Linked DNA regions of Ovis aries. The protein of the gene in region 2 interacts with the protein of the main gene of each other region in a pairwise test. Links are inferred from orthologs where the notes say so. Each region holds a gene or a part of one and is shown on either strand. Other genes may lie near its edges.

Region 1 (4,228 bases), on a different chromosome or scaffold from region 2:
ACAGAAAACCTGCTGTATTCCACTATATAGATGGGAGAAGTCAGTCCTTAAAAGCTGCCTAGCTCATACTTCCAGAGAGTGATGTCGTTCAAAGTCATAACTTATGCTGTGACAACTGTACTCTGAACTTTAGCTTCTACATTGGTAGCATACTATCATTTGCTTAAGCAATAAGGAAATCTATCTCTACCCATGAATGTGGTAACTGTTCCTGTCACACTTGTCTTTCTAGTGTCAGGGCTTCCCTAGGAATCACTCACCTGCACAGATCTGAAGGTAGTAATGAAAGGCAACATGATATGATAGCCCGGTCCACTGGGGCTAGTTAGTAAAGCTCCTCCCCTGCAAAAAGATGTTTTAATTTGATAAGATTATAAAAAGAGAAATTCTCTTTCCAAATCTAAAATGCTACAATAAACATTCACTCTTACTCATTCTATTGATTTACTAAAGCCTCACTAGTATAAGTTACTTGTGATGAACAATTGCTGGTCTCTACAGTATCTGTCATACCTACAAAAGTGAAAAGATAAAATTAAACTGTTAACATTACACCTTGTTTCACAAGCTCTAACAACCACATCTCTGGGTCTCCACCATACTTTCAGGTATAAAGATTCTCTTTGGTCTTTAATCTTTTGAGAAGTACTTGTGGAAAAAAAATTCAGCTGGCTCTCAGTTGATGTACTTTAACTGTACATAACACAAGCCAGATCAAAACATAATACATTTAATCACTGGGCTGGAAAAAAAAAAAGAGATAACACAAACTTCCAAGTAAGGAGAAAATTTCTGATGCTCACGATTCTTTTACTCTACATAGAAAGCAATTACAATATTGGGGGCAATTAACATATACACAACACTATATATAAAATAGGTAAACAAGGACCTACTGTATAGTACAAGGAACTATATTCAGTATCTTGTAATAATCTATAACATAAAAGAATCTGAAAAATATATAAACATATATAAATCACTTTGCTAAACACTTAAAACACAACATTGCAAATTAACTATATTTCAAAAATTTTTTAAAAAATACTTGGACTATAAAGCCTCTATAAAATCAACAAAAAATTAGCATATAAAGATGAAGAATAAAGAGATAAAACTATAAATCAATGTTATAAGCATAGATGTGAATAGAAGTTCACCAAATTCTGAAATGTAAGAAACATGACACCATACTCTGGAAGTTATAAAAAGGAGGCAATTTGGAGGCAACAATAAAAATGAAATTCTGTTTTATATAGTGAATAGTAAATTCATAGAACTTAGCTTTCTATCTTGAAAATATAAACAGATTTGCAAAGAATTCATAACAAATAACTAAGAAAAGATTAATTGTTTTAGGTCCATCCCTAACTCTTTGAAACCCACACCTTGAAATGTTCTTTCTTTGCCTTTACTATCACTTTTTTCCATTATTCCAAAAAAATTTTTTTTCCAAAAATTTTTAAAATTTCAAATTCATTGAAAGAAAGTTATATGCTGAACTAGATGGAAATACAGACTAATCTGTCATTTTTAAAATGCCAGACTCCCACCCCTACTTGCTAAGACTATTCCTAAGACTCAAGGTGGATCTAAAAGTGGAAACATCAGTTTTAGGGGAGGATGGGCGGAAGCCAGCAAAAAGTTGAAGCTCTTTCAAATACACCACTTCAAATTTCTCCAAACTATCATCTGTCTACATAAAAAAAAAAAAAAAAAACTGGTGGAAACTACGTTGAAGGAACAGCTATTCATCTCAGCTAGAGAGCAACTAACAAACTTCACACCATTCCTTTCCACGTGAAAAGAAAGAGAAAGGTTGGGAGGATGTGTCTGTCACAATCCTGTGCTTGTCTCCCAAGGTCCAGGAATTTAACTGTAATGGTCTTCATGGCCTTACAAGCCCAAGCCAGATGCCATAATCTTTTAAAGAAAACAAAAAGCTAAGAAACCACCACAAACAGGACTCAAGTTTCTAAATAGCATCTACAGCTGCAAACAGAAAGTCAGTAAAGCTGTATGCAATTTAACAATGATTTATCCACCTCCTCAGCTACAGATGGAGTGACCACTGCCTTCCACCTTTCATTTTTTCCTACAAATAAGTGGGTTTACTATTAGGAACAACTGTAGGGAGTCTTAATCTCTGCACAGCACTGAAACTGTCCAGCTGTCTACAAAAGCCTGCCACCACCCCCAAACCCCCTAGGGATGCGACGAAAATCACCTTCTAGGACTAGAAAAAGTTCCCCGAGAACAATTTCCTAGACTCGAATAAAAGTCTCCCTCTCCCTGCTCTAGAACCTGAGCTGACTGCACGTGCTGCTCACCTGTAGTACACGGCCAGGTGTCCTTCCTCGATCTTGTGGATGGAGGCGTAGAGGAGGACCACCACCAGACCCACCACTCCAGCCACCAGAACTCGGGCTTGAGTCATATTCATCTTAATTCCTCCTGCATGCGGATGGAACGCAGCCCCAGCCCCTTGAGTGACAGGCCCACCACCTCTGGTTTCCACCTTCCCCCTCGCGACCCGGCGCCGTCCCGCAGGCCGAGCTGAGGAGTCCTATGCCCCCTTTTCCTCCTCGCCAACCCGCTCCGCCAGAGCTGGCCCGTGAGTCGACACGGCTCGGCCTGACAGCCCCCTCCCGACGACCACTCCTCCCCGCCCAGCAGAAGGCACTAACTGAGAAGGGAGCCAGCCGCAGACTCCGGACGGAGGCCGACCCCTCGGCCGGGCCTCACTAATCAGTGACGCATCGTCCCCGCCCGCACGTGGAGCCGCCACCAAGGCCGGGCCAACCGCCGCCAACAGCCGGCCCCGCCCACCCGCGGGGCAATGCGGCTGCGCGGACACGCACGCCGACGCCGCGCCCTGCGACTAGAGACGGGGAGCGAATGGGACAAAATTCTCCAAGCCGCCCGCCAAGAGATTCGCGCGAAGGTGCGTAGGGTCTTCTCTGTGTGCTTTTGGTTTCCTGCTCCGGAAGAAAAGGGAAGTGGGGTATTGGAAGTAAGCAAAGGGGCAGAGGAAAGAAGGCATCTGAGACATCCCTTAGTGGTCAGTTTGTCCTTGTGCAAAGACATCTATTAACGTGCTAGAATGCTGATCCAGTGAGGGCTTTATGAAGGCCATCCAAGCAGTAAGAACCGAATGAACTAATAAGCACGCAAACGTGGGTGTGTGTTGGGAGGGTCCTTCAGGAAGACTACGAACAGTGAGCGTTTGAACTTCCTTGAAGCCTCTGTGTTGGAAAGGAGTGGGATATTAGGCTAGGCCCTGATTTTGAAAGGCCCTAAAACAGTGCTTTTCTGCAGGGAGGGGAAATTGGATGGCTAGAGAATAAACCCGGAGAAAGCAATGGCACCCCACTCCAGTACTCTTGCCTGGAAAATCCCATGGATGGAGGAGCCTGGAAGGCTGCAGTCCATGGGGTCGCTGAGGGTCAGACACGGCTGAGCGACTTCACTTTCACTTTTCACTTTCATGCATTGGAGAAGGGAATGGCAACCCACTTCAGTGTTCTTGCCTGGAGAATCCCAGGGACGGGGGAGCCTGGTGGGCTGCCGTCTATGGGGTCGCACAGAGTTGGACACGACTGAAGCGACTTAGCAGCAGAGAATAAAGACATACTTTCTTTTCACTAAATACTTTTCTGCCCTTTTAAGTTATTCATTGTTATTTAGTCACTAAGTAGTGTCTGACTCTGCGACCCCATGGACTGGATGCCAGACTTCCCTGTCTTCACTATCCCCCGGAGCTTGCTCAAACTCTTATTCATTGAGTCTGATACTATCCAGCCATCTAATCCTCCGTCTCCCCCTTCTCCTACCCTCCATCTTTCCCAGCATCAGGGTCTTTTCCAATGAGCCAGTTCTTCACATCAGGTGGCCAAAGTATTGGAGCTTCACCTTCAGCATCAGTCCTTCCAGTAAGTATTCAGGGTTGATTTCCTTTAGGACTAGACTGGTTTGCTCTCCTTGTTGTCCAAGGGACTCTCAAGAGTGTCCTCCAGTACCGTAATTGAGAGCATCAGTTCTTTGATGCTCATCTTCATGGTCCAATTCTCACATTGGTACAAGACTACTGAAAAACCATAGCTTTGACTACATGGACCTTTGTCAGCAAAGTGATGTCTCTGCTTTTAGTGAAAGAGTAAAGATAGGAGTGAGATAGATGAATATAAGGGAAATTAGGGCAGCATATTAGAAGAGGTTGGGCATTAGT
Region 2 (3,561 bases):
ATCACAGTTAATAAGTAATTTGACACATCACATATTACCTCTTTGGTATTCTTCTTTCCAAAATTGGATATCCTCTATTCAATTTTGAGACAATATCAGCCGAACCAAAATTAAGGACCATTTTACAAAATAACTGATCAGTACTCTTTAAACTGTTAAGGTCACAGAAAACAAAGAAAGGCTTGAGCTGTTAAAGATTCAAGGAGACCTGACAACTAAATTAAATATGGAGTCCTGGATTGGATTCTGGACCAGGAAAAGGGTCTTATGGGATAGCTGGCAAAACTCAAGTGAAGTCTTTAGGTTACTTAATAGTATTAAAATCAATGTTAATTTCCTGTTTTGATGATTATACTGTGGTTATATGAGGATAACATTTGGTTGGGGTGAAAAGCTTTTGTAACTTTTCTTACATTTAAAATTATTTCAAAAGAAAATTTCTATTTTTTTCAACTTGTTAAATTCAAAACACTCCAATAAAATAAATTTTTCTAGTTAAATTTTGCTTGGATAGCAAACACAGGCCTGATCTGTATAAGAACTAAATGCATTAAGCAGAGCATCACATTCTTTCTGTATTGTCACAAACACTCTAATGTTCTTCCTGTTCTGAAGTCTGGATATAAATCTCACACAGAGTCCTGCACCTCTTTCCTAAGACTTTGTGATCATATGTAACTCCTATATATCCCAGACTTGGAGTTTTAGATATCTTCTAGAAAATAGTTCATTGATTCAACAGATTTTTATTGTGCACTTATTATATACATACCAGGCATTGTTTGGGCTTCCCTGGTGGCTCAGAGGTTAAAGCGTCTGCCTGCAATGTGGGAGACCTGGGTTCGATCCCTGGGTCAGGAAGATCCCTGGAGAAGGAAATGGCAACACACTCCAGTATTCTTGCCTGGAGAATCCCATGGATGGAGGAGGCTGGTGGGCTACAGTCCACTGGGTTGCAAAGAGTCGGACATGACTGAGCGACTTAACTTTCAGGCATTGTTTGGGGCAATGGAGAAAAGTGAGTGAACAAGGCAGTTAAAAACCTCTCCCTTCATGAAGCTTGGATCTCATTGGAAGACTATAGATGACAAAAAAAATAAGCATATTTTTGAAGTATGTTAATAAATGTAATATAGAGAAAAATAAAGGAGGAAAGGTGAATGCCAGGGTTTGGGTGCAGGAGAGTATTTTATCTTTTAAATCAGCACTCATTGAGTTCTGTGTCCCATTTTTAAAAATCTTTTTTAGAACATAACTGCTTGATTTTATATATATAAACACATATATATATTTATATATAAACTTTATAATCTGTCTTCTCCCAGTAGAATGTAAGCTCCATCTGAGTGAGGTCTTTGTTTACTTAAAACCAAAGAACAACACCAAACAGATAAATAAATTTCCATTGAATAAATTCTCCCTCAAGTGTTCTCTCAGGTTCTAGTTTAGCCCCTTAGACTCAAGTAAATATTTGTTGATTTCATTAATATACAGATTCAGGTTATATGAGCCCATTTTGCTGAATAACTTGTATGAGTTTTTTTTTAACCTTTCTGGGATAAGAACCCTTAAGATCCTAAGACTGCTTCTTAGTTGCCTGTCATCTTGAGGAATTTGTTTAGCTTGTTTGCATGGAAGTTTATCTATTTTAAATACAATACAAAACGCTTTTCCTTTTGAAAAATGAAAAACATAAAAGGAGAAACCTATTTCCCTTTTAAGCTGTGGAGCTTTCATAGCTGAATGTCTTAAAGATATTACATTGTCTTATCTGTAGTTGAAAAATCCCCTCATTCCACTCTCATATTTCACCCTGTGGCCTGTTAAAGTTTTATAGTTGCAGCATCCATTTCTTCTTCCTATAACCCTAATCATCATTTATTTTTATATTTTCAACAGTGTTATTTACTCGTCTACTATACCAGCTGGCGGAATGTCAAATCTTTTTTGACTTTCGGTTTAATCTGTCTATGCAACATGTATCTCTATGAACTGCGCAACCTCTGGCAGCTTTTTTTTCACGTGACTGTGGGAGCATTTGTTACACTACAGATCTGGCTAAGGCAAGCCCAGGGCAAAGCTCCTGATTATGATGTCTGACACCATCCTTCAGACATATTGCCTTGCCTTAAAGAGGAAAAGGAAGGACACTACCACTGTGATGAAGAAACTGTTCACCACAAATGAGAAGCTCTGCTTTCTTTCTCTCCAGCTGTCCTTTTTAAGTCAGCATGGCATGCCTGTGAGCATGCAATACCTGGTAGGCAAATTCCTGTCAGCAGAATGTTGGCCATGATTATCGTTCAGAAGAAGATGAAGAGCCCTCTCTACAGGGCAATGGCATTGGAAGAACAGTCAGATGCCATTGGAAGACTTGGCCAACAGCTCTGAATCATGGCTGGAGAATTCAGTCAAGAAGTGTGTGTGGTACTTGCTCTGAGAACCAAGCAGGAACTCTACAACCCCAGTTTGCCTTTGTGAGGCATTAGTACAGACCAAATAAAAGATGCTGCAGTGAATTGGAAAGTTTATGTGTAAAACAAATGACTCACTAAATATTAGATCATTTGCACATTTATTGTACCATGAGTCTATGAAGTCCTGATTGGTATGGAATGGTTTCTTTTTCCTTTTATATTTTTGCTTGAATCTTAACTCTGGAAATCACCTGATGTAGGAGAAGGCTGTGGTGAGCTCATCCCTAGAGCATCATAAGTATTGAAAACACAGTGACACGTTTCTTTCCTAGACCACATTTACACCTTCTTTTGAAATCACTTTTTAAAAATATGTCATTAGGCTATAGCCATTATTTGCCAAACTTCAATCACTTAAGTATTACTATTACATATGCTATTATTTACTTAATATTTATCTTTTAAATTTTAAAACATTTTAAAAAGAAACTAACCTCTACTCCAAGTGAAAAACCAGCATCAGTTTGCCATTAAAAAAGAGAACTACAAAATAAATTAAAAATAAAACAGGATGTTGTGAGATTCTAACTGGATGCTAATGACTGCCAAGGCTCTGAATCCAAGAAGCCTACTCTTTCTTTATTGCAGTGAGAGATGTTAGCTAGCCCCAAAATGGGCTCTCTCTGTGGAATTATCAGAAGTTTAAAAGAAAATTATAAAGGGAATGACATTCACACTGTGACTCAACATCATTTAACTCTGTGTTGTGTATCACCTAAAGTCATCTCACAAGCCACCAAGTGATATGGGTCCTGCCCTGTGGAAACACTGAGTTGTTCTAAGAGTCAGAAGGTAACTCCTCTCTCAGCACTTATTATCCCTCATATTATTTCATGACTTCGAGGAGTTAAGCACCTACTATCTAAGTGGTGCTTTTTGATAACTTGTAAAGATTGTTTAAGCAGTTGTGAGAGGAAGCATATTTTGGTTCTGGTTTTGAGGGCTTCCCAGTGGCTCAGATGATAAAGAATCTGCCTGCAGTGTAGGAGACCTGGTTTGATCTCTGGGTCTGGAAGATCCCCTGGAGAAGGGAATGGCTACCCACTCCAGTATTTCTTGCCTGGAGAATTCCATGGACAGAGGA
Region 3 (4,254 bases), on a different chromosome or scaffold from region 2:
TCCCCACAGCTCCCATTTCTCCAGGGCCAGTCCCAGTGGTGTCGACAGTATCCACTTCCTGCCAATCTGCACAAGACCCTTTGCTCCTGGATCTCCACTGTCCCTTTGGGGCTTCCTGAGGCCCTGGGAAGCGAAGAAACACTGTTTATTATGTGAGGGAGGACTGGAGGGGGTGTTTGTGAACCTTCCCTCCCTGGAGCTCTGTAGGTGACCCCATCTTGTTGGGTCCCCCAGTGCCTGGTCAGCTGACGTGAAGAGGTGGCCCAAACCGTCAGGACTGCGTCTGTTCCTGTGCCCTGGAGGTCACACCTGCTCACCTGACCAGTCCTAAGTGTAGTACAGGGGCACCTCGCCACACAGGGTGCTCACGGTCCTGCCCAGGAAGGCCAGGTCCCCAGAGAATGCTGAGCCAGCGTCACGGCCCTGCTCCTGGCCCAGCTTCGAGGAAGGCACTGGGGGCTTGGCCTGGAAAGAGCATCTGGTTTAGAGCCTGGGAACTCAGTTTCTGTCTCACCTATGGTCCTTATCATGGGACCTCAGGTGTACCAGGCAGTCTCTGTGTAAAGAAGGTGTTGTGCTGGAGTCAGAGCCCCCAGGGGGTGTGTGGGCTCAGCTAAGCCAGCAGCTTGGCTGCGGGGCAGGGATGGGGAACTTGGCTAGGAAAGGTTGGGTGCAGGGGGATCCAGGGAGAACATTCGCCTGGCAGTCCACGAGGAGCAGCATTTTACAGGTGACAAAATCATCATCTAAAATGCTCCTGCCAGCAGCCCTGGGAAAAACCAACCCACTCCCTCTTACCCATACACCCACCTGGAAGTTCGGCAATTTTCTAGTGAGAGCCTCGAGACTTGGGATGCTCTGCGGAGCCACCTTCATAATGTAGCAGCAGGTTCCGGGGGCTGGCTTGTAGGCAATCAGGAGCTGGGCATGGGAACATATGAGGGTCAGTTCGGAAGCCGCTGCCTAGCTCACTCCTAACTCTGGTCCTAGGCCATCCCCCTCTAGGCTGGGCACTGGAAGGAGTCGTACTGGAATCTGGCGCTTAGCAAAAGCGCTGGGCGTGGGGAGAGATGAACCTGTAGGAAGGCCAAAGCAGAAGAGGTCTAGCACAGAATTATCACTGGTTCCTTAGCCTTGGGGTCAAGAGGTCCACGCATACCCACCCGCTGGTAGTCATACACCACAGTGCCAGTGGAGCCGATGGAGAAAGTGGCAGTGGTTCCCACACGCTCACTCAGGGCCAGGCGTTGCTGTGCTTCCGGGCCTGCGATGCTCATCTCTAGAACCTAGAGGAGGGCATCGTGCTGCCTGGCATTCCTCTTTCCCCACTCATCCCTGCACCTCATGCCCACCCTCAGTTCCCTTTGTGCTGTGCTGCGCTCAGTCACTTCAGTCATGCCCAACTCTTTGAGACCCTGTGGACTGTAACCCTCCAGGCTCCTCTGTCTATGGGATTCTCCAGGCAAGGTTACTGGAGTGGGTTGCCATGCCCTCCTCCAGGGGATCTTCCCCGACCGGTAAGAGATGAAGCCCTCATCTCTTATGTCTCCTGCATTGGCAGGCGGGTTCTCTACCACTAGCACCGCCTGGGAGGCCCCAGTCCTCTTTACTCAAATGCAATTCTTTCTTCCCTGGGAGCTCAGAGAGGCCCAGGGGAACCAGGCACTGGAGGGAACAGATTGTCCAACTGTGGGGTGGGGGCTGGTGAAAAAGCCCAGGCAGAGTTTGCCACCCTGTTTCCACCTCTGTCCTTCCCTGAGGCGTCACTTGCCTCCTCCCCTCATTCCCCGTGGGCAATTTGCTCTCTATCCCAGGGCCTCTATCTGACCTGCCCTGTATCCACTGCCCACCCCATCCCAAGCCTACTCACCATCTCTGTATGTTTCTGGCTCATGTGAAGACCCATGAGCAGGGCTCCTACGATCACCACGACGACAAGGACCACAACCACAACCACGATGAGAAGGCGTTTGATGTTCACGGGACAGCAGGGGATGCGGAGCCGGCCCCCGGGGACTGCTGAGTAGTCCTGACATGTGGGGCAGGCGAGGAGACAGGTATGAGGTCATGAAGATGCCACTTCTCCCTGCACAACCGGGACACCCTCCCAGTCTCTCCCGGGACTGAACAAAGAATGCCATGGATGTGCAGAAGAGGGCTGAGCCGGTTAGACGCTTCCTGGAGGAGGGGGCCTGGATTCCAACAAACTCATAGATGCTTAGAAGTGAGGTCTAGCTTGAACAGATCCAAGAGAGCCTGTTTCAACCAGTCTCACTTGCTGCTGTTTCCTCCACACCTCTGACATCCCAGCCACACCCATCCCCTCCAGTTCCCCTCCAAATCCATGCTTTTAGGTGTATGATCCCTTCTTCCAGCAATGCCTTCCTCCTTCTCCACCTGCTGAGCTCTGACTTGTTCCTCTGGAGCCAGCTCAAATGTTAGTTTCTCTGCAAAGCTTCCTGTGACCTCCCGCGTAGTGGCTCCTTTCCCAGTGCTCTCTACAGTCTTTTCCACAGACCCCTTTAATGGCTCACAGCCCCTTGTATGAGAATTAGTGGCTGCTGAGTCTGCTACTCCAAGAGTCTCTGTCTTAGTGATTGGTGTCCCTGTCTTAATTTAGCACAGTCCTAGGTTAGTTGAGTGAATGAATTTGGGTAGGAAACAGGCCCGGAGAAGTTGGAGGAGGCAGAGCCCATCATACACAGATACACTGTTGCACACATACACACACACATACATGTACATACGATCAGACTCACCGGCGGGCTCTCCATCAAGACCTCTTTGCTGCCCACATCCATCTTGCTGTAGACACCTTCCCTCCTCATCTCTGAGTATGACTAGGGTCTTATATGTGCCAGCATGGACACAGGACAGAGGTAAAAGACCCAGCCCCTGTCTGCCAACCAAGCCCTCAGCTTTGAAGCCTGTTTGTTCCTGGCCCTTCAGAGCCAAGGGCCAGATAAGCCAGCTGCAAGAGCGCCTCAGGGCCCTTGGCCCTGGCGCGTGAGTCCTCTTGGCCCCAGGGAAAGCAAAGCTGGGTAAGCTGAGCAACCTTGCCCTTGAGAAATCTGCACCTCTCACCGTGGGTGTCTTCCTGGCATGCCTACCATTCTTGCTGGCACCTGCCCCTGCCATCTTATGGCTTTTCTTGTTCTTCTGCCAGGCTGAACCTCTTTGGCAACCAAAGGCCAGACCCAATGGGTCCACCACACTTCCCAACAGATTTGCTCCCAGAATTGCCTCCAAATTGCCCCTGGAGCCTAAGCTCCAGGAAGGGGAAATCTTGTGGACCCACAGGGATAGTACCAAAGGCACGAGGTGCTTTGGCATCAGTGCAGAGTTTCATAAATGGTTCATAAATTTCCTGGGAGTGTCAGATTTTCAATTCAAGTGTACCTTCTTTGCCTATTCACACATGTCTTGTACCTAACCTCAGACATGCCCCTGGTCATTCTTTCCCAAATTCTGAAAACTGTCCCTTCTAGTTATAAATTCTTACTAACATGCAGTTTTTCTTTCTTTGTATGGGCTTGTTTGTAAGCTGAAGGCTTTTTCTTTTTAACCTGGTTTTACCATTTTTGCATTTATTTTTAAGTTGTATTTATTTATTTGTTTATTTTTGCTGTCCTGGGTCTTCACTGCTGCTTGTAGGCTTTCTCTAGCTGCAGCCAGCAGGGGCTACTCTCTAGTTGCCGTGCACAGGCTTCTTCTGTAGTGACTTCTGTTGCGGAGCACAGCCTCTAGAGTGAGTTCTCAGGAATTGTGGCACACCAGCTCAGTTGTCCCAGGGCAGGTGGGATCTTCCCGGACCAGGGATTGAATCTGTGTCCCCTGCATTGGCAGGCGGATTCTTAACCCCTGGACCACCAGGGAAGTCCCTGAAATTATTTTATGCTGAATTTATTTTCCAGACCATACATTTTTGCTTCTTCAGTTTCTTCTGGGACAGCTTTCTCTTCCGCGCAAGTTTCTGTGCACGTTTAGGAATAACTGGCTCTTTTCCCAGTCAGGATCATCTCTGTGTGCCGGGGGGAGTCCTGCAGGGGTTAATCCGACTGTGAGCTCTGCGAAGTCCTGTGCAGCATCTTGGGGGCTTGTTGACCAGAGAATCCACGTCGAAACCCTTCAGTTCAGCATTACTGTCTGCATTTTTAAGCACGTGCAGCAAAACTCAAGCATTCTTTTTGGGTCACCAAATCTATGTTTAGCCCCTCTGTTTGGCTTGGGCACATCAACCAGCTCCACAATTGG

Evidence for each region. The genes of interacting proteins can lie anywhere in the genome.
Region 1: the proteins of SEC22A (region 2) and ERLIN1 interact in binary tests that used the Homo sapiens proteins (3 or more experiments, as listed by UniProt). The two-hybrid records come from large-scale screens. The link is inferred for Ovis aries from reciprocal best matches to the Homo sapiens genes SEC22A and ERLIN1.
Region 3: the proteins of SEC22A (region 2) and SFTPC interact in binary tests that used the Homo sapiens proteins (3 or more experiments, as listed by UniProt). The two-hybrid records come from large-scale screens. The link is inferred for Ovis aries from reciprocal best matches to the Homo sapiens genes SEC22A and SFTPC.

What each region holds. Positions count from the first base shown.
Region 1 is NC_056075.1:20,870,989-20,875,216, forward strand, and holds the start of ERLIN1 (erlin-1), read right to left. Parts: upstream 2,814-4,228; 5' UTR 2,688-2,813; intron 2,455-2,687; 5' UTR 2,444-2,454; coding exon 2,331-2,443; intron 343-2,330; coding exon 261-342; intron 1-260. UniProt on the Homo sapiens protein: Component of the ERLIN1/ERLIN2 complex which mediates the endoplasmic reticulum-associated degradation (ERAD) of inositol 1,4,5-trisphosphate receptors (IP3Rs).
Region 2 is NC_056054.1:188,498,764-188,502,324, forward strand, and holds part of SEC22A (vesicle-trafficking protein SEC22a), read left to right. Parts: intron 1-1,899; coding exon 1,900-2,100; 3' UTR 2,101-3,561. UniProt on the Homo sapiens protein: May be involved in vesicle transport between the ER and the Golgi complex.
Region 3 is NC_056055.1:43,446,686-43,450,939, forward strand, and holds the start of SFTPC (pulmonary surfactant-associated protein C), read right to left. Parts: upstream 2,814-4,254; 5' UTR 2,802-2,813; coding exon 2,760-2,801; intron 2,030-2,759; coding exon 1,871-2,029; intron 1,287-1,870; coding exon 1,164-1,286; intron 922-1,163; coding exon 811-921; intron 466-810; coding exon 328-465; 3' UTR 318-327; intron 124-317; 3' UTR 1-123. UniProt on the Homo sapiens protein: Pulmonary surfactant associated proteins promote alveolar stability by lowering the surface tension at the air-liquid interface in the peripheral air spaces.